Caenorhabditis elegans: one gene and its partner. The protein of the gene in region 2 interacts with the protein of the main gene of each other region in a pairwise test. Each region holds a gene or a part of one and is shown on either strand. Other genes may lie near its edges.

Evidence for each region. The genes of interacting proteins can lie anywhere in the genome.
Region 1: the proteins of crh-2 (region 2) and vps-4 interact in a two-hybrid assay, tested with the Caenorhabditis elegans proteins (one large-scale study listed by BioGRID).

What each region holds. Positions count from the first base shown.
Region 1 is NC_003279.8:1,063,274-1,070,290, reverse strand, and holds the start of vps-4 (vesicle-fusing ATPase), read left to right. Parts: upstream 1-3,391; 5' UTR 3,392-3,421; coding exon 3,422-3,442; intron 3,443-3,522; coding exon 3,523-3,634; intron 3,635-3,729; coding exon 3,730-3,899; intron 3,900-3,965; coding exon 3,966-4,098; intron 4,099-4,993; exon of another isoform or gene 4,994-5,372; coding exon of another isoform or gene 5,373-5,637; intron 5,638-6,284; coding exon of another isoform or gene 6,285-6,691; intron 6,692-7,017. Other genes in the region: gsa-1 (Guanine nucleotide-binding protein G(s) subunit alpha), read right to left, coding at 716-877, 1,203-1,304; npr-23 (G-protein coupled receptors family 1 profile domain-containing protein), read right to left, coding at 5,373-5,637, 6,285-6,691.
Region 2 is NC_003280.10:5,178,995-5,188,771, forward strand, and holds crh-2 (CREB homolog crh-2), read right to left. Parts: upstream 7,083-9,777; 5' UTR 6,893-7,082; coding exon 6,658-6,892; intron 5,607-6,657; coding exon 5,465-5,606; intron 5,111-5,464; coding exon 4,963-5,110; intron 4,809-4,962; coding exon 4,694-4,808; intron 2,987-4,693; exon of another isoform or gene 2,780-2,986; intron 2,095-2,779; exon of another isoform or gene 2,079-2,094; coding exon of another isoform or gene 1,820-2,078; intron 1,626-1,819; coding exon 1,534-1,625; intron 1,461-1,533; coding exon 1,314-1,460; intron 915-1,313; coding exon 818-914; intron 764-817; coding exon 684-763; 3' UTR 35-683; downstream 1-34. UniProt on the Caenorhabditis elegans protein: Transcription factor. Plays a role in regulating the developmentally arrested larval state known as dauer, when induced by long-term exposure to the Gram-negative bacterium P.aeruginosa PAO1, but dispensable for dauer formation induced by starvation.

The DNA of each region.
Region 1 (7,017 bases), on a different chromosome or scaffold from region 2:
TGATTTATATTGATATAATTGGTCTCAATAGGGCTCTCTATACAAAAAGTGCTGCTCTGTCAGTAAAATTCAATTTATCATAGGGGGGGCACACACACACACATACACATAGAGTCTTGTCTCTTCCACAAAATCACACTTCTCTTTCTTTTTCTTTTTCTTTTTCTTTTCTCTCTCTCTCTCTCTCTCTCTCTCTCTCTCTCTCTTCTTCTTCCTCCTCCTCCATCTTCTGTCTGCACATGCACACAGCTCTTGCGCGGGGCGCGGCCCCGGCCAAGCGGCAAGCAAGAAGAAGAAGAAGATGTAGAAGAAGAAGAAGAAGATGAAGAAGAAGAAGAAGAAGAAAGACGGAAATTCTGGGGGCGCGCGGGCGAGAGTAGAGAAAGACAGGAGCACACACACACACGTCTCGAAAAAGAGCGCGCCTAGCGTCCGCAAAGGGAGAAATATCAGCCAGCTGACACATTTGTATGCATTATATGCCTTAAAATCGATAACACCGCGCGAGGCTAAAAATAGCATACACACACACGCTCTCCCAGACACTTTCAGCACAGCAGCAGCAGCAGCAGCAGCGGCTCCACCGATACGACGGGCGCCGCGAGACACATGGTGCTCCTGCTGCTTGATTTGTTTATCAACTGCCCACACTACCACCACCACCTTAACTACTACTACTACTACTACCAAGTACTCTGGAATCTTTTTCAGAGACCTGCATGGCGTCGCGAACGTTCCTCCGGATGTCGGTGATCTTCTCGCGCTTCTCGGCTTCGTTGAATCCGTTGATGTGCAGAATCCGCATCTGCTTCACAATTGTGCTCTTGCCGCTCTCTCCGGCGCCGAGAAGCAGCAGGCGATGAGTCGCTCGCATCACCTACAAAACTGGGTTTGGTGTGTGTGTGTGTATGTGTTGAGGATGGGATCTGTTACAACGCGTTTTTGTTCATCGTCCGCCGGAGGGGGGCCCCCGGGGCAGAGCGACGAACTCTTCGCCCCTCGCCGCCTGGCGGCCTCCAAAATTCGAAGCCCTCCCTCTCCCCCCTCCTTTCCACCCATCGATCAATATTTCAACGATGTGTTGCTAGAGGCTTACCGGTTTAATGGCAGATCATTTGGAAGGGAGGGAAATTATGGCGACGCGGGGGCGGGGGGAAGACGATGAACAAAAACCACAAAAACCCACCAATTCCTAAACATACCTGCTTATCCTTAGCCAACTGCTCCTCGATCTGCTTGTTGACCTTGCGTGCTTCTCGGCCTTCGGCATCAGCGCCAGCGCCGACGCACCCCATAAGGCGCATCTTGACGCGGTGGCGACGGCTCTTCTTCCGATCGGTGGTGGTTGCGCAGTGGTTTCAGCAAGTACAGTAGTAGTGAAACGTTTGAAAGGCGGTGGTGAACGGTAACGAATTAGCGGAATAGTCAACGGCGACGTGGTGAGCAGGGCAACTCACGGCGTGTGTAGGCAAAATGGAAAAGACAGAAAGAAGTGTGTGGGGGGAAGACGGAGAAGAAGAAGAAGAAGAAAAAAGAATAGAGAATTTGGAATTTGGAAGTTACTGGCCGATGTGATGGGAGAGGGTGGTTGGGGATCGAACGTTCGCAATCGGATCAGACGCACGTCGAATCGTGTTCGAGGCGCGTTGCCGTTGTCGTCGTCGCCGTCTTCGTCTTCTTCGTGTATCGGACAGCGGCCACAGACAAGTATGCAAACGACGAGAGAGAGGCGAAAGCAGCAGAGAGGGACAAACACACAAACACACTCACTCACTCACTCTCTCTCTCTCTCACAGTGTGTGTGTGTGTGTATTTTGTGAGTGCTAGTTGCCAGGCTCCTTTCCAACGGGCGGTCTCCTCAATCGAAATGCTCCCTCGCGTCGTGTCGTCTAAACTGCGTGTCGCACCAAACGCGACCGCCGGACCAACACACACGGCCGGCCGCCCCGTCGACAGCTCTTGTCCGGCACCGGCCTGCCGCCCTCCGGCTTCTTTGTGCTCTTTTCGTCGGCTTTATCGTCTGTTTCTCTTGTCGCGCCAGCGGGGCACACATACACACTTTTCGCCTCACTGGCATCCTCGATTTCTCAGGCTGTTGAGAGGGAAAGAGAGGGGGGGACTGCACACGCGTCGCGCTTCTCTCAACTCTCGTGCGTCGCGGCGGCGACGGCGGCGGCGGCGGCCCCACTGCACCCGCCAATTCAAACTCGGGTTTCAGTGCAGTGTTGGGGAGCTGCGAGCGGTAGCGACAGTGTGCGCCTTTAAAAAGTACTGTAGTTTTGAACTTTTCCATGCGCTTCTGGATTCCCTCGCATTTTTAAGTGGAAGAGTTTGCCAGACTAGGCCATTTTGTCTCGGCCACGGTTGGGGTAGATTTACGGCGCGTTGTGTGTCGCGTCGCGGCTCGGCTCGATTTTCATTGTGAAACAAAATTTATTTGTCCGTGTGGAGTACACAACTTTCCCACGCGTTGTCCGGCAGGTGATTGTCAATGGGGCGCAAAAAATTGCAATGACGAATACCAGAATCCCGTGTTTTTGCTCACGATTCATATTATTTTATTCTAGTTTTTTGAAAAATCTGAGAATTCTGGAAAAAAATTTGAAATGACAGTACTCTTTGAAGGCGCTAAATTTGATTTGTCGTGTCAAGACCAGGAAATTGCTGCCGTCAACTGAACGAATTGATTTTGTGAAAAATATTCCCATTTTGATAATAAATATATTTTTTTTTTGAAGAAAATCATATTTTGCAAACTACTGCTTATTGCGTAGAGCATGTTTTTAAAACGAAAAAAGATCAAATACCGTATCCCTCATTTAAAGGCGCATGGGCTATTCATTCTCCAGCTTTAGTTATTTCAGGTCTAGAAATAAATGCTGAAGCATCTCTTGCAACGAAATCTGAATTTTCACAGTCTTTACATATATATATATTTTTAAATAATAAATGAATATCGATATGATCACGGGTTTTCAGGTTTTTAATTGAATTTTAACTGAATTGTTGTAGATTTCTAATTATTTTGTTTTGTAAACTATGGAATCGTCTCTGAATTCGGTAAATTTGCAGGAAAAAAATCTAAATTCAAACTTCCCTCCAAAATTCGTCGCGAATCACGTCAGCGTCGGGAAACGCGTCAGCAACCACCAGCTGGCGCGCTTCTCGTTTTGCGCTTAAAAAGCGTGACTCAGTTTTCAATGATTTCACAATCATTAAAAGCGAGAAATATCGCGAAAACCTGCTTATAAACTTGATTTTTTGATGCTGATTAGCTAGAATTTTGTTAAAATATCGATTTTCTAAAGTTTAGGGCTGAAAAATTCACTTTTTGACTCCCATCTTGTTGCTCCATCGATTTTCGTAAAATTGCTGACTTTTCGTATTTCAGCGTCCACCGCTCACTTATCGCCAGGAAAAAATGTCGGTTCCGGCACTTCAGGTAGAGTTTTTAGAGTTTTTTGTTTAAAAAATTGAAAAATAAAACATTTTTTAATTTTTTAAAAATTTTTTTAATTCCAGAAGGCCATAGAATTGGTGACAAAAGCCACCGAGGAGGATACAGCCGGCAGATACGACCAAGCGCTGAGATTATACGATCAGGCCATTGAATACTTCCTTCATGCGATAAAATGTTGGTTTTTGAGCGGAATTTTCCGGGTTTTTTCCGTTTTTTCCGTTGAAAAAAATAAAAAATATGTTAATTTTCAATTATTTTTAAATTTTCAGACGAGTCACAAGGCGATAAACAGCGTAATGCGATTCGTGACAAAGTCGGGCAGTATTTGAATCGCGCCGAGCAGATCAAAACCCATCTGAAAGACGGAAAAACGCAGAAAAAGCCGGTGAAAGACGGGAAAGACGATTCCGACGAGGATGAGGACAAGAAAAAGTTTCAGGTAATCAAATTTTAATGGAAATTATCACCGAATTCAGCCCATCAGCCCAAAAATCGCAATTTTCAGGACAAACTGTCGGGCGCAATTGTGATGGAGAAGCCGAATGTCAAGTGGACCGATATTGCAGGACTTGAGGGAGCGAAAGAGGCGCTCAAGGAGGCCGTCATTCTTCCAATCAAATTTCCACAGCTTTTCACTGGTGAGAATCGTGGAATTTTGGCGAAAAATAATTTAAAAAATGCAGCTTTCCGCTGGAAAATCGATAAATTCAGTGATTTTTGCGGATTTTTGGTGAAAATTTGGGTTAATTTTCAATTTTCTCCCCAAAAAAAAAAAAACGATTTTTTAAATAAAATTCGGAAGAAATTGCAGTTTTTCAGGTTTTTGCCGATTTCCTTGCCTAAAAATCGATAAATTAGGCGGTTTTTCGGAGAAAATTCGGAAATTTCACTGGTTCCCGCAAAAAATCTCCAGTTTTAGTAAAATTTTGCAAAATTTCACCTGAAAATTTGCAAAAATCCCCCCCAGTTAACCGATTTTCCGCCAAAAAACTGCGAATTTTCCCCGGAAAATTAGCGAAAACCTCCGAAATGTCTATTTTTATAACAAAATTGAAGGAGAATGGATTTTTGAAAAAAAAACAATTATTACATATTCGGAAAAAAAACCTCCCGATGGGTCTCGCCAAGAAAAAAATGCATGCGTCTTTAATTTGGAGTTTCACGTGTCCCATTACGGTTTGATCTACAAAAAATGCGGGAATTTTTCGTCCTGAAAATGACGTGTCAGCAATATGCGAAATCAGTTGAGAACTCTGCGTCGCTTCTCTCCCGCATTTTTCGTAGATCGCCGTAGATCAAGCGGAAATGGATCTCTGGCTTCCCTCATAAACTGAAATGGAAGAGTTTTTGCCGAACTAGGCCATTTTGGCTCGGCCATATCTGGGGTAGATTTACGGCGCGTTGCGTGTCGCGTCGCGGCTCGATTTTAGCGCGAAAAATTCAACGAGGAAGGCCAGAACCCCGTGAGAAAAATTGAAAATTTTGACCTCAATTTCAGAAAAACGTACTTTTTTTTTGAAAAATCTGAAATATATATACGATTTATTTTGCAATACAACATTCGCGGAAATTTCAAAAATTGAAAAAATGACACTATACAAAAGACTATCGGGAAGTACGTGGTGTCAGGTAGTCTCATTGCGGTTTGATCTACAAAAAATGCGGGAATTTTTCGCCCAGAAAAATTGTGACGTCAGCACCACGTTCTTAACCATACGAAATCAGTTGGGAACTCTGCGTCTCTCAACTCCCGCATTTTTTGTAGATCAAAGCGAAATGGGACTTTCTCTGTCTCCATGTGGGGAAGTGGTTTGGAATGACCGGGACTTTATAAGGGAAATGGCATTATTTTTTTTGGGGAGAAAATGGGCAAGATATGGGCGTTTTTTGGCAAGCGCGGGGGAAAAGCAGATCAAATCAGCTGAGCCTGCATATTGTGCTGATGTGCGACGTGGTGATAGGCTCCGGTGCCGGTTTTGGTGTGAGTCCTCGCCGTCAGAGCCATATCCTCCTCCTTTATGATGAAAATGCTGGCTCCGTAGAGCAACGGAGCGATGATGCACGGTACGAAGGCGAACATGGTGCATCCGATGGTCCACAGTGTGTCCTGACTCATTCGGACGGGATCCGACGGGTCCAAGGCGGTTAGGATGTAGAAGGGCAGAGCGTAGAGGGGACTGGAAATATGAATATATATACATATTTTTTTTTTTTGGAATTTTTCGTTTTAACACGAGATTTGGCCTTTTTTTTATTGTGTTATTAGACTCAAAATTGCCTGAAAACGCCGAATTTCATAATGGAATTTCTTGAATACTTCTCAAAAAAAAGTTATGACAGCTCAAAAATGGCCTAAAATTAGTTAGAATTAGAAATTTGATCTACTTGTCAAGTGGCTGGAAACTATCTTTTTTTTTCAAATTTTACCGTCAAATTTTGAGTATAAAATGTAAATTCGGAACACGTTTTAATTATCTTGCGTTTTCAACTCGATTTAGGTATTTTAAAGTTGATGGACGGCGAGATTTTTAAATTTTTTAAACCAAATCTCGCCGTCCATCGACTTTAAAATACCTGGATTGAGTTGAAAACGCAAGATAATTGAAACGTGTTCCGAAATTACATTGTATACTCAAAATTTGACGGTAAAATTTGAAAAAAAAAGATAGTTTCCAGCCGCTTAACAAGTAGATCAAATTTCTAATTCTAACTAATTTTAGGCCATTTTTTGAGGCGTCATAACTATTTTGAGGAGTTTTCAAGAAGTTTCATTATGAAATTCGGTGTTTTCAGTCAATTTTGAGTCTAAGGCCTTAAAACTCACCCCAAAAGGAAGAAATACACGAGGAATCTGCTCTTGTACAAGCCCAGCGACTGGAACACAATTGGACTATGAAATAGAGTCTGTAGAATTCGAAAGTAGGCGATCGACGAGAATAAGGCCGGAATGAACACGCCGAAGATCATGGTGTACGTCAAGAATTTTAGGCCAGAGTCCGAGTGTGAGAAGACGCAAGTTCGGACCGCTGGGCCGTAGATCGCCACGTGGCCGTTGGTTAGAGACGGTAGAGAGAGGAGCCAGGAGATTATCCACGACAAGATGCATAGTTTGGTGGGTGTCAGGCCGAAAAGTTGCTCGTAGTGGATGCGGGCGAACGTTAGCAGATGAACACCGGCGATGCAGAGGTTCATCATGGCGATGACGGTCCAGACGGTGACGGTTATGGAGACCTGGAAAATGCTTCTGTTTAGTAAAACAAGCAGAAAATTGCGTGAATTGTGAAAAATTCCAATTTGAAAGCTTTTCCGGCATGGTTCTGAGATAGCTTAAAGCTTCAGGCTACTGAGCTTTATTTGAACTTGAAAAAGCTGTGTGATCTACTAAAAATTCCATTTCGCGAATTTTCCCCGATAGGAGAAGACTGCGATTGTCACACATAGTATGTCCCATCACGGTTTGATCTACAAAAAATGCGGGAATTTTTCGCCCAGAAAAATGTGACGTCAGTACGTTCTGAGAACTCTGCGTCGCTTCTTCCGCATTTTTTGTAGATCTA
Region 2 (9,777 bases):
AATTTCTGGAATGTACAAGAAACCTCAGAAAAAAAATTTAAAATCAATAATTTATATCTATAACATTTGAGGGAGCAGAATGTGATGGAGTGGGTGGTTGTATTTTCATGAAAATTACATAAAAAGGAAGCATATAGATGGGTAATTATGCAAGGAGGTAGAATCAGTGTCCCAAGAAAGAGTAAAATCAACAAGAAGAAATTAATAGAAACCGATCAGTTGGAAAATTGAGTGAAAATGTTTTCTTTTGAAGAAATCATGTTCTACTCTTATAATTAATACCCAGGCTATGATTTACAGAAAAAGGAGATGTTACAAGAATCATTCAATGTAACATGAGTGATGAAAAGCGGTTAAAACTGGAACAATTCAAAACTGAAGGCCTTTTGAGGGAGAGGCGGAGGACACAATGAAATATCACAGAAAATACACGAAAGGGGGAGAAAATGGTTTACCCTAGGGAGAAAATGGTTTACCTATTGATCGTAGAAAAACAATTTTTTGCGTGGCAATTATACTGCATTCCCTGATAACATACGATTAACGTTTGAAAAAATTGTATATAAAAATTATCTAATTCACTGGACTTATTAAAGGGGTGCAATATCAAGGGAATGGGAGAAAATACTCGTGTTTTTGAAGAGAATGGAGCGAGATAAAAATATGAGGGACATTGGGAGAAACTACATTTTTTCTTTACTTTCGTATTGATGCAGCTTCTGCTGAAGATCACGATTTGATGCTTCCAATTGGTGAACTTGCTCTGAAAATTATGATAATTAAATTATGGAAATTTTAATCTATATTTATTACTTACTTTTAAGGGATTTGTTCTCCTCACTAAAACAGTGCAATCGACCCTCAAGGGCATCAATGTACTCCTTTCTTTTTCGGCGAGATTCTTGTGCAGAAAGCTGAAATTTGAAATTTTTAAGATTATATATAAATATTAAAAGTTTGAAAAGTTTGAAACTGTTTATTTTATTACGGGAACACTAAATCATGGGAATGCGTATTGCGCGAGGTATTTGACTCGCAAAATATCTCGTAGTGAAAACTACAGTAACTTTTTAAATGACTACTGTAGCGCTGGTGTCGATTTACGAAAAACATTTATCAATCAATAAAATTTTTTAACACAGAAAAATAAAATTGAATATCGCTGTCACAATTCGAAAATAAATTCGTTTCGAAAATTGAGTCCGTAAATTGAAACCAGCGCTACAGTAGCTATTTAAAAAGTTACTGTAGTTTTCACTACGAGATATTTTGCATGTCAAATTGCTTTTTTTTAGAAAATTTTAAAAACTCACCTTGTTCTTGATTTTACGACGAACAATCTTCAAGGATTCCTCTTCACTTTTTGTCAGTGGGTATTTCTGTGGAATTGAATAGCCTTCTTGAACAAGAGTTCGTCGCTCTTCTGCTGACAACACCAAGTCTCCATTGGCAGTTATATTCTGAAATGTTTCATTATTACTTTTAGAAAAATTATAGATCAGAGTTAAAAATTTAAAAAAAAAGTTTACTTACCTGATCAGTGATTAGATGTTGTCGAATAGCCATTTCGTGCATCTTGTTTCTCGCTTTCAACTGCTGCTGAGCGGCCGCCAAACCCATGCCACCTGAAGAAAAATAGCATTTTTTTTTATTTAAAAAAATCAATTCTAAATACAAAATGTGTTTTCGATGTTTAATAAATACAGTAAACAAACGCACAAAATCACACAGTTTTATGTGAACTTTTGTTTTTTCTTGCAGTTTTTTTTTGACTTTCACATTGGTTCGAGCTAGTTTTTTGAAACATATATTCACGTACGCAATAAGAGGTCATCAACATCCATCACTTCTTGACTTCCTTCTGATCCGTCCAATCCGTCAGCTGAGGCTGCCGCTAAAAACATTTCACTATGAATTGTCATGTCGTGTTCTTCTTCGTCAGGACTCGAATCGTGTGAATTCGTTCCAGCACGAGAGTTCAGAAGGGCTGACAGGTCCATTTCGATTCCATGATCTTCGAGTTGCTCCTCTTTGATTTCGTCTTTGATAAAGACGTTGGCGGTACAACGTGTCGCCATCGTCTTTTTTGGGTTTTCTACAGTAACACGAATTTCAGTATGTTCAGAAAATTAGATAGAAACAAGGTAGGATGCTAAGATGATCAATAAGAAAACGACAGAAGGGACGAAACAGGTGCTGGAGGTGCCAGACACCACAAATGAACTGGAATGACAGGAGAAAAGGTGTGAAAGAGAGTGAGAAAGAGACTTGGAACTCAAAAAAGTACTCAACTTGTCCGGAACCTACATTTACCACTAAAAATGTATGATTCCCACAACGAAATACATCCTGAGCCGTATCAAAACAATTGTTTATTCAACTTTCAGAAATCGTGTTGTATGTGTCAAAAAGTAGATTTATGGAAAATAGGCACTGGTCGGACTGTAAAGAATCCACTCATTATGATGAATATTATGACATGACGTGGCAAATAAGAATACGAACTAAAAAGGCCCCAAGGGTAAATGAATCTAGAGGACATAGGGGGCAAGAAGAGGAGAGAAGAGGGTTTTCGATCGACGACCCTCAGCGAAATAGTGTCAAAGACAAAGAAACGCAGAGTTCGCAACGTGGCAGATGAGGGGACCGACCGATTAGAGGCATAGAGATGGGCTTTGGACACGCGATAACCTCGGAGACGCCGACACGTCACGCGTAGTGAAAATGGAAAAGGAAGAGACCCCGAGAGCGGTCTCTTTCCGTATATACACACTTTGCCACGTCAGAGAAGTCAGAGTATAGAAAAGAGACGGACGTGTCTCTCTTTCTTGCTTTCACATTCTCTCGTGGCTATTTCCCTATTTTTTCCCCCGTTGGCCATTAGGGTACCCAATGGCTCTGGGAAACGACGCGGCGACGGAAGCCGTTGGTCACGGACTGGTAAAAATAGGAGCTCATGTAGAAACTCGATGACGTTCACAAAAAAATCGGAACGAAAACGGGTAGAACAATTTTTTGTCACATCTCATCTGCCACGTCATAATATTTACTCTTTCTAGGTATATTGCCAAACTTCTCTACTACCACTATTTTCCTATTGTTTGCAGAAAAATAAAGTGATGCGATAATAAAGTGGGAATTTGAGTGCCCTCGTGGGGTAAAGAATTTCTAGGTGTGATGAATAGCCACGCCACAAAAAATTATATTTTTAATCTAGATTATTAAGAGATCTATGTTCCTTAAATAGAGACAAACATTTATTTGTTGTTTTAAAAACTTATGCTGCAAAATTGAGTCTAAGAAAAACGCTAAGAAAACATGAAACTATCAACTACAGTAACCCAAACCTAGTAAAAATCAGAAAGTGGCAAACTCAAAAAATAATTGTTACAGCATCACTACCATCAACCAATGACGTGGAAAAGTGGTTGAAAAAAAAACAACAATATTGGGTCGATTTAAGGAAAAAACGACGTCGATGAAGTGGTGATGGTGATAGAAGTGGACGAGGAGAAGAGGACGAAAGGAGTCTATGACTAGGGTGTAAGCAGCAGAATGCAGTCAGGAGTGTGTCAGAGACGATGCAGATGTAAGAGAAATAGAGAATAGATAAGGGACAGACGCGTGTCACATGACGTGGCAAAACGCAAAGCATCAGCACTTCTTGAGTGAGTTTGTGTGCATGTGTGTGGCGCATGGACATCTCGTTTTCAGACTGACACACTTTCGAGATTTTCCTGCACACACACACACACATACTGACGTGGCAGACCAGCAAACTTTCTCTCGTATCTTCTTTTATTTTTGGTGTTTCACACAGTCGTAACTAAACATAGATGCAACTATGCAGAAGCGAAATGACGTGGCGTGCGAAAATGGGAACTGACACACAAGGTGCTCCTTCCGATTGGCCATGACTTGAAAAATAAAACGAAGAATGCAATGGCACGTCGTCCAAAGTCTTGCAACAAACAGTATGCTTCTCTCAGAGAGCGCAGACAATGGGCGAGTGACGTGGCACTTCTTATTTTTATTTTCCTTGCGTATCGGAGAAACGTCCACAATTCTCGTTCCGAGGCAACGGCCAAAAGACACTGCCCGAAGCATCAGTCATAAAATAAAACCAATTTTAAATTTGGCATTTAATTTTTTAAATATAAAGCTGGAAGACAATAACCCATTAGAAAAATCTTAAATTCTACAAAAAGTACATCTAATTCTATGTCATGTCACTTGACACTCATCTGGTAGGAGAACCTCAATGTTTTTGAAAATCTTATGACGTGGAATTTTCAAAAGTATAATTTAAACGAGTTTTTCACTAGTCACATTGCATGTGTTTCTCTCAAATGAATAAAAACTGCTGGCTAGAGACATAGAAAATTATGACGTGGCAAACAGGATCAAGTGTGAAGAAGGACAACTTTGACGTCATCTGATCGTGACGGGGATAATGAACTAAATAATTGGCTTATTCTAGAGACGAGGAAGTACATTAATCCAGGTTCATTGAGGTGGGGAGTTATTTTTGGGAAGTAAAATTTCAGACGATAAAAGTCTATAAAAATCTGTGCGCACGGAAAGCTTCAGCTTCAAAAATCTAGCTCGAACCTATGTGAAAGCAATTTAAGCTCAAAAATACGAATTTTAATTGAAGTTTTTGGTTTGTTTTTTGAATATTCAAATGACGTACCCATTCCTTCATAAATTGTTGAATCCTTGAAGAGGAAAGTGTGCGGGACACTTGAAGAAGCGTATTGGTGACTGGGACCGGAGAATATTTGGTTCATGTTCATTTGCAGTGAAGCCTGAAAAAAGAATTTTCAAAAATGTTTCTAAATTTAATGTATGTATGTATAAATCATTTAAATTGAAAATAAATTAATTTTATAAAATTAAATAAAATATTTTACAAATAGTTTTTTGTCAAATTTAAAATCATTTCGCTGAATCTGATCTCACCTGAGATGGATGCTGAACCACATGATGCTGAAGATGGTGACTATGGGAGAAATGAGCCACGGATGGTAAAGGAGACAGTTGTTGTTGGTGGAGCTGATGCGAAGCCATTGAGTGACTTCCGTGCATCATTCCGTAAGACGACGGGCTGCTGAAATATACTTACGAACGATTAGTCTGTCTCAATGTAGTTAAAGTAAATTATAATTTAAAATTCTGAGAGAAATTCAATTTTTGCAAAAAAAAAAAACGATTTTTCAACAAAGTTATTGTCAATTCCAAGAAGATAATTGCAAAATTTTTAATTAATTGACATAGAAAATTGATTTTTTAAAAATGAAAAAAAAAACGTATAGCCACATGCTTCCACGTGGATGGAACACCGAGAAATGGGAGGTCTTCAAATTGGGAGGTCTCTGTGACCCACTGACCTAGTTTCGAGTTTTTACGTTTTTTTTTCTTTTTTTCACGCCGATAGTTTTCAACTTTTTGCTCCAAAACTCACTGCGACGATGTGGCCGACGGACTGAACGGAGCATTGAAAAGTGAATTTCCAAAATGAACATCGAGTCCGAGAGGCTCATCCTTGAATTCGTTCGGCGATGAAAGTGACGACGATGGGCTTCCCGATGATGATCCGTGATAGTCTGAAATAATATAAATTTAAAAAAGATCAAGTATTGGAGTTTCCAGGATCTGAAATTATAAAACCTCTTGTTCCATTTTCTAATTTTTTTTTCATATTTCAAAGCAAATTCGCCACCAATATGAAAAACTTCAACCTCGCCGGGTTGGCTCCTGACTCGTTTTGTTATCAGCGAAAAAAACCTTGTCCTTTCTTTAATTTTAATGGTTTTTCTCTGTCTTGAACCCTCCTAATTAACCGTGTTCTTTTCTTTCATCTCCTATCACTCTTTGTTCCACTTTTGAAACATTTAAGAGTTGTTTTACATGCTACCTTTCACTTTTTGTGATAACTTCCTAGCTCTTACATCCAACCCTTTTTTTGATAAGTAAACAAATGTTTCGAGAAGAAAGATAGAGAGACGAAATATACTGGGTCATAAATTGTGCATTTACGTCAATGACCTGCAACACGAGACACTCTTTTCTTCATGACGATTATTCCTCTTGGTTCCGGGAAACGCCATACTTAATTGGATGACAAAGTGGCAACTGTACTACAAATTTCAGGCCAATATACGTTCAGCGACAAGGTAGGATTAGGTAATTTCTCCGAGAGACCAGTACGTCATCAGTGGAACATGTGGCAGAGGAACGACAAAAAGTTGTAGCAACTTTCCAAAGCTTATCAGTAAAACAGTGCGTGATAATTCCAATGTACGGGAATAGTCAGTAGCAAGTCACAGTTATCGTGTTTTGTGCACATGCTCTTCCAAAGGCAACTTTAAAGCATAATAAAAGTATAATCTTTAAATGATAAAGTTTCAATTTCATCATAAACACTGAAAAAGAAAGAGAGATGATTCTAAAGTGATTCGGTTAAAATGTGAACTTTTGAGCTGATGGTTCACTGATAACACTCTCAAGTCATCATTAAAAGAAAAAAATGGAAGTAAAAAAATGATGAAGGAAGTGAGAAAATTAGGAATTAAAAAATATTTTTCAATATTCTAATTATTAGGAATTTAGCTTCATGAATAAGTTGGGAAATCGGAGAGTTAAAATGTGGCCTACCTTCCCCAGTGCTACTGTGACGTGACTGATTGAAAATTCCAGATAGTGGAGGAAATAGCATAGAAGGATGAGGCTTTTCGTCAGGTGGAGTACATGGTTCCCATTTCATAGGGAAATTTGGGATCGGATGCATCATTTGGTTCATTTCACAGTTATTGTTCATTCCCATATGCATCTGTGGCATATCCATTGGCATTGGCATTGACATTGATGAACGAGATGACGAAGAGTTCATAGTTACAGTTGTTGGTGGTACAATATTTACAGTAATCTGACGGAGATGTGAGGGAAAAGTTAGAGCCAGAATAATGTGATACTGTTCTTATTCTTGTTTCTTTTTCCTCCCCACTGACAGGTGGGGCAGGCGGCAGCAACTCAACAAGGGGAGAAAGATACAAAGATGGGGGGACGCTAATTTGATAAACGAGATAGTCAGAGAGTGCATGAGAAGCCAGTAGAATAGAGCACAAGTTTCGGAGAGAAAAACTGATAACAGTTTAACACAGTGCTCCAAAGGGGAGAGCACACATGTTAGTCACTTTTGCTGAATTCTTATTTAATTATTATTCTAAAAAGTGATGCAGATTTAAGTAAACAAACATGGCGATATGAATTTCTCAATTAAAGTCACACCTTTTTGGTCACATATAATAATAACATGACACTGAAAAGGTACTTAATCGATATTTGATGGCGGTCGTAAAACGGTCGAAGAGCTGATAACGAGATGTTGTCGTTGACGATTATGGATTGAAATCATGAATATACGCTGTTGATGTTTGATATGTGACTATGATTAGCTCACGTATTCAACTGTTGTGGACTGGGAAATAAGGAATATGACATCGGAAACCTAATAAAAGGCTTCAAATGAGATGATTGTAGCCAGTCGGCTGGTAGGGATTTTATGTTCGACTCTACAAAATGGCCTGTTGCACCATGTTGTTCCAACATTCTTCATTGAACACTGTTGTCAAAGTCTAGAAAATCACTTGATTTATCTGAAAATAACATTTACTCTAGCTGAATTATCTGATAAGGCACACAAACGGCCTGAAAGTTGCCGATTGTCAAAAAAACAAAGCTAGATTTTTTAGCTGAAAATAATGTTATTTCCAGATAAATCAAGTATTTCTTTAGATTTTGACACAATTTTTTGATTAAAAATTTTGGTCAAGTTTAGTTTCACACCATTTTGATTTTTGATGCTCATCAACGATATCACACTTTCATCAGATCACTGTCCTTTCTTCGCTCGTGCTCCTTTTTTTGCTGCCGTTTTTATTTTCCAGTGACCGATGACGTTATCACTTTATATCAACATCAGCACCAAGAGACATTGTTACGAAAAACGCTAGTACGGAGAGTGAAATTGCTGTTTTATCTCCCAGCCTTTCTTCTTCCCAAGTGCAAAGATTAATGCGTGTTTATTTGCGTTTCAGTTCCATTTTTAATTTCATTCTCTGTAAGCCTTGATTTTGAAACTTCCGAAAAACGGAACTCAACTTGACTGTAGCTTGATGTTATAAATGTTAAAAGCACTGAGTTATCAGTAATATTTCAAAATTAGTTGAAAGATAACTTTTCAAAATGTGACCATAAATCAGAAGAAAATTCTTTGAATGTTTGGAAAGGGCATATTTAAAGAAAGAGGTCTTACCAGAAGTTTCATCGTTCGGTTCCATTTTAATTCGGAAATTGTCGTCGGAGAATCCATCGATATCATTGTCGAAGAGCTTTAATATCTGAAATAAAGCTGATTTAAATTAGAAACTTGAATTTAAAAATAAAATAATTTTTGAAAACGTTGATACTCACATCAAGAGTGTCCTTCTCATCATGAACAGATGAAATAAATACATCTTTTTCGAGAACTCCACTCGTCGCCCAGTCGTCGTCCATCATCATCGCTTCCAGACTGCAAATTTCAATATATTATTGAATCGATAATCCTTTTTCGGAAAACGGACGGTGCTCATGATCACAGCTAAGCTAACGGACGGCTCATAACGTTTCGGGTGTGTCAATATCGGTGGTGCGGATTTTTCAAAGAATTTTGACCGAAAATTGTGACAAAAGGGAATTTAATTTTATAATAAATTATTTACAAGAAAAACACTTTCGAAAATATTAATTTTTCTCAAAAAATCTTAAATTTTTTACAATATCAAGCTTGTAAGCAGATTAGGAAAATAAACTTTCTTTTAAAAATTGATTTTAAGAAGCGAAAAGTATACGTGAGGACACAAAGAATAAATTTGAATGGAAAATTGGGAGCAAATCGGATAAAAACAAAATCCCGATCAAGGAAGCAACATAAAAGTAACAAAAAGTAGGAAAATTGAAAACATTGATTTTTTTCAAATTGAAATATCAAAAAATACAACAGTTTTTCTGAGTTTTTGTGTTTTAAAAGTGAGAAAATGATGATAAAATCTGTGAAGACAGTTGAAAACGAGCAAAGTTTTAGGAGACTAAAATAATGCAAATGCGCTCCAGCGGACTTGCAATTTTAAATTTGAATTAGGATTACTGTATTCGCTTCAAAACTGCCATTTAAATAAAATTCTAGGCTCGTTTTCGATGTTTAAAATTGTTATTTAAATTAAAAAAATTAATTTTAAAATTATCTGAAATTCCCTAAAGTAGCCGTGCGTATGCTTTTCAATTTGTGACAGTGCTCTTCTCGTTTTGTTTTGCAGCTAAACAAATAGGTCATGGAGGACGGCATCTTTCCGGAGAAGAGAAAAAGACAGAAAAGGGGACTGTTTGTAATATGAATACAATAGTATTGTACATACGTGTGCTCTATTCATTGATATCGAATAGAAGAAGAAGAAGAAGAACGAATGGACGAAATAAGTTCTATATGTTTTCGATATTTGGGTGATTGCACTGCGTATGAAACGTCAACTTTAACGTCGAGTATTTCAAATCTGAATAATAAATAGGTTATAGTTAAGTCAGATTTATATAAAGTTCAAGTTAACCGTTTATTCTCTGAAAGAATATCTCGTAATTGAATTTTCGTTCTTATCAGTTAGAACTGACTGATTTTTTGAAAAAAAGTGCAAAAAATTTTCAGCAATCAAAAGAAACAAATACTACTGAAAAATTCTA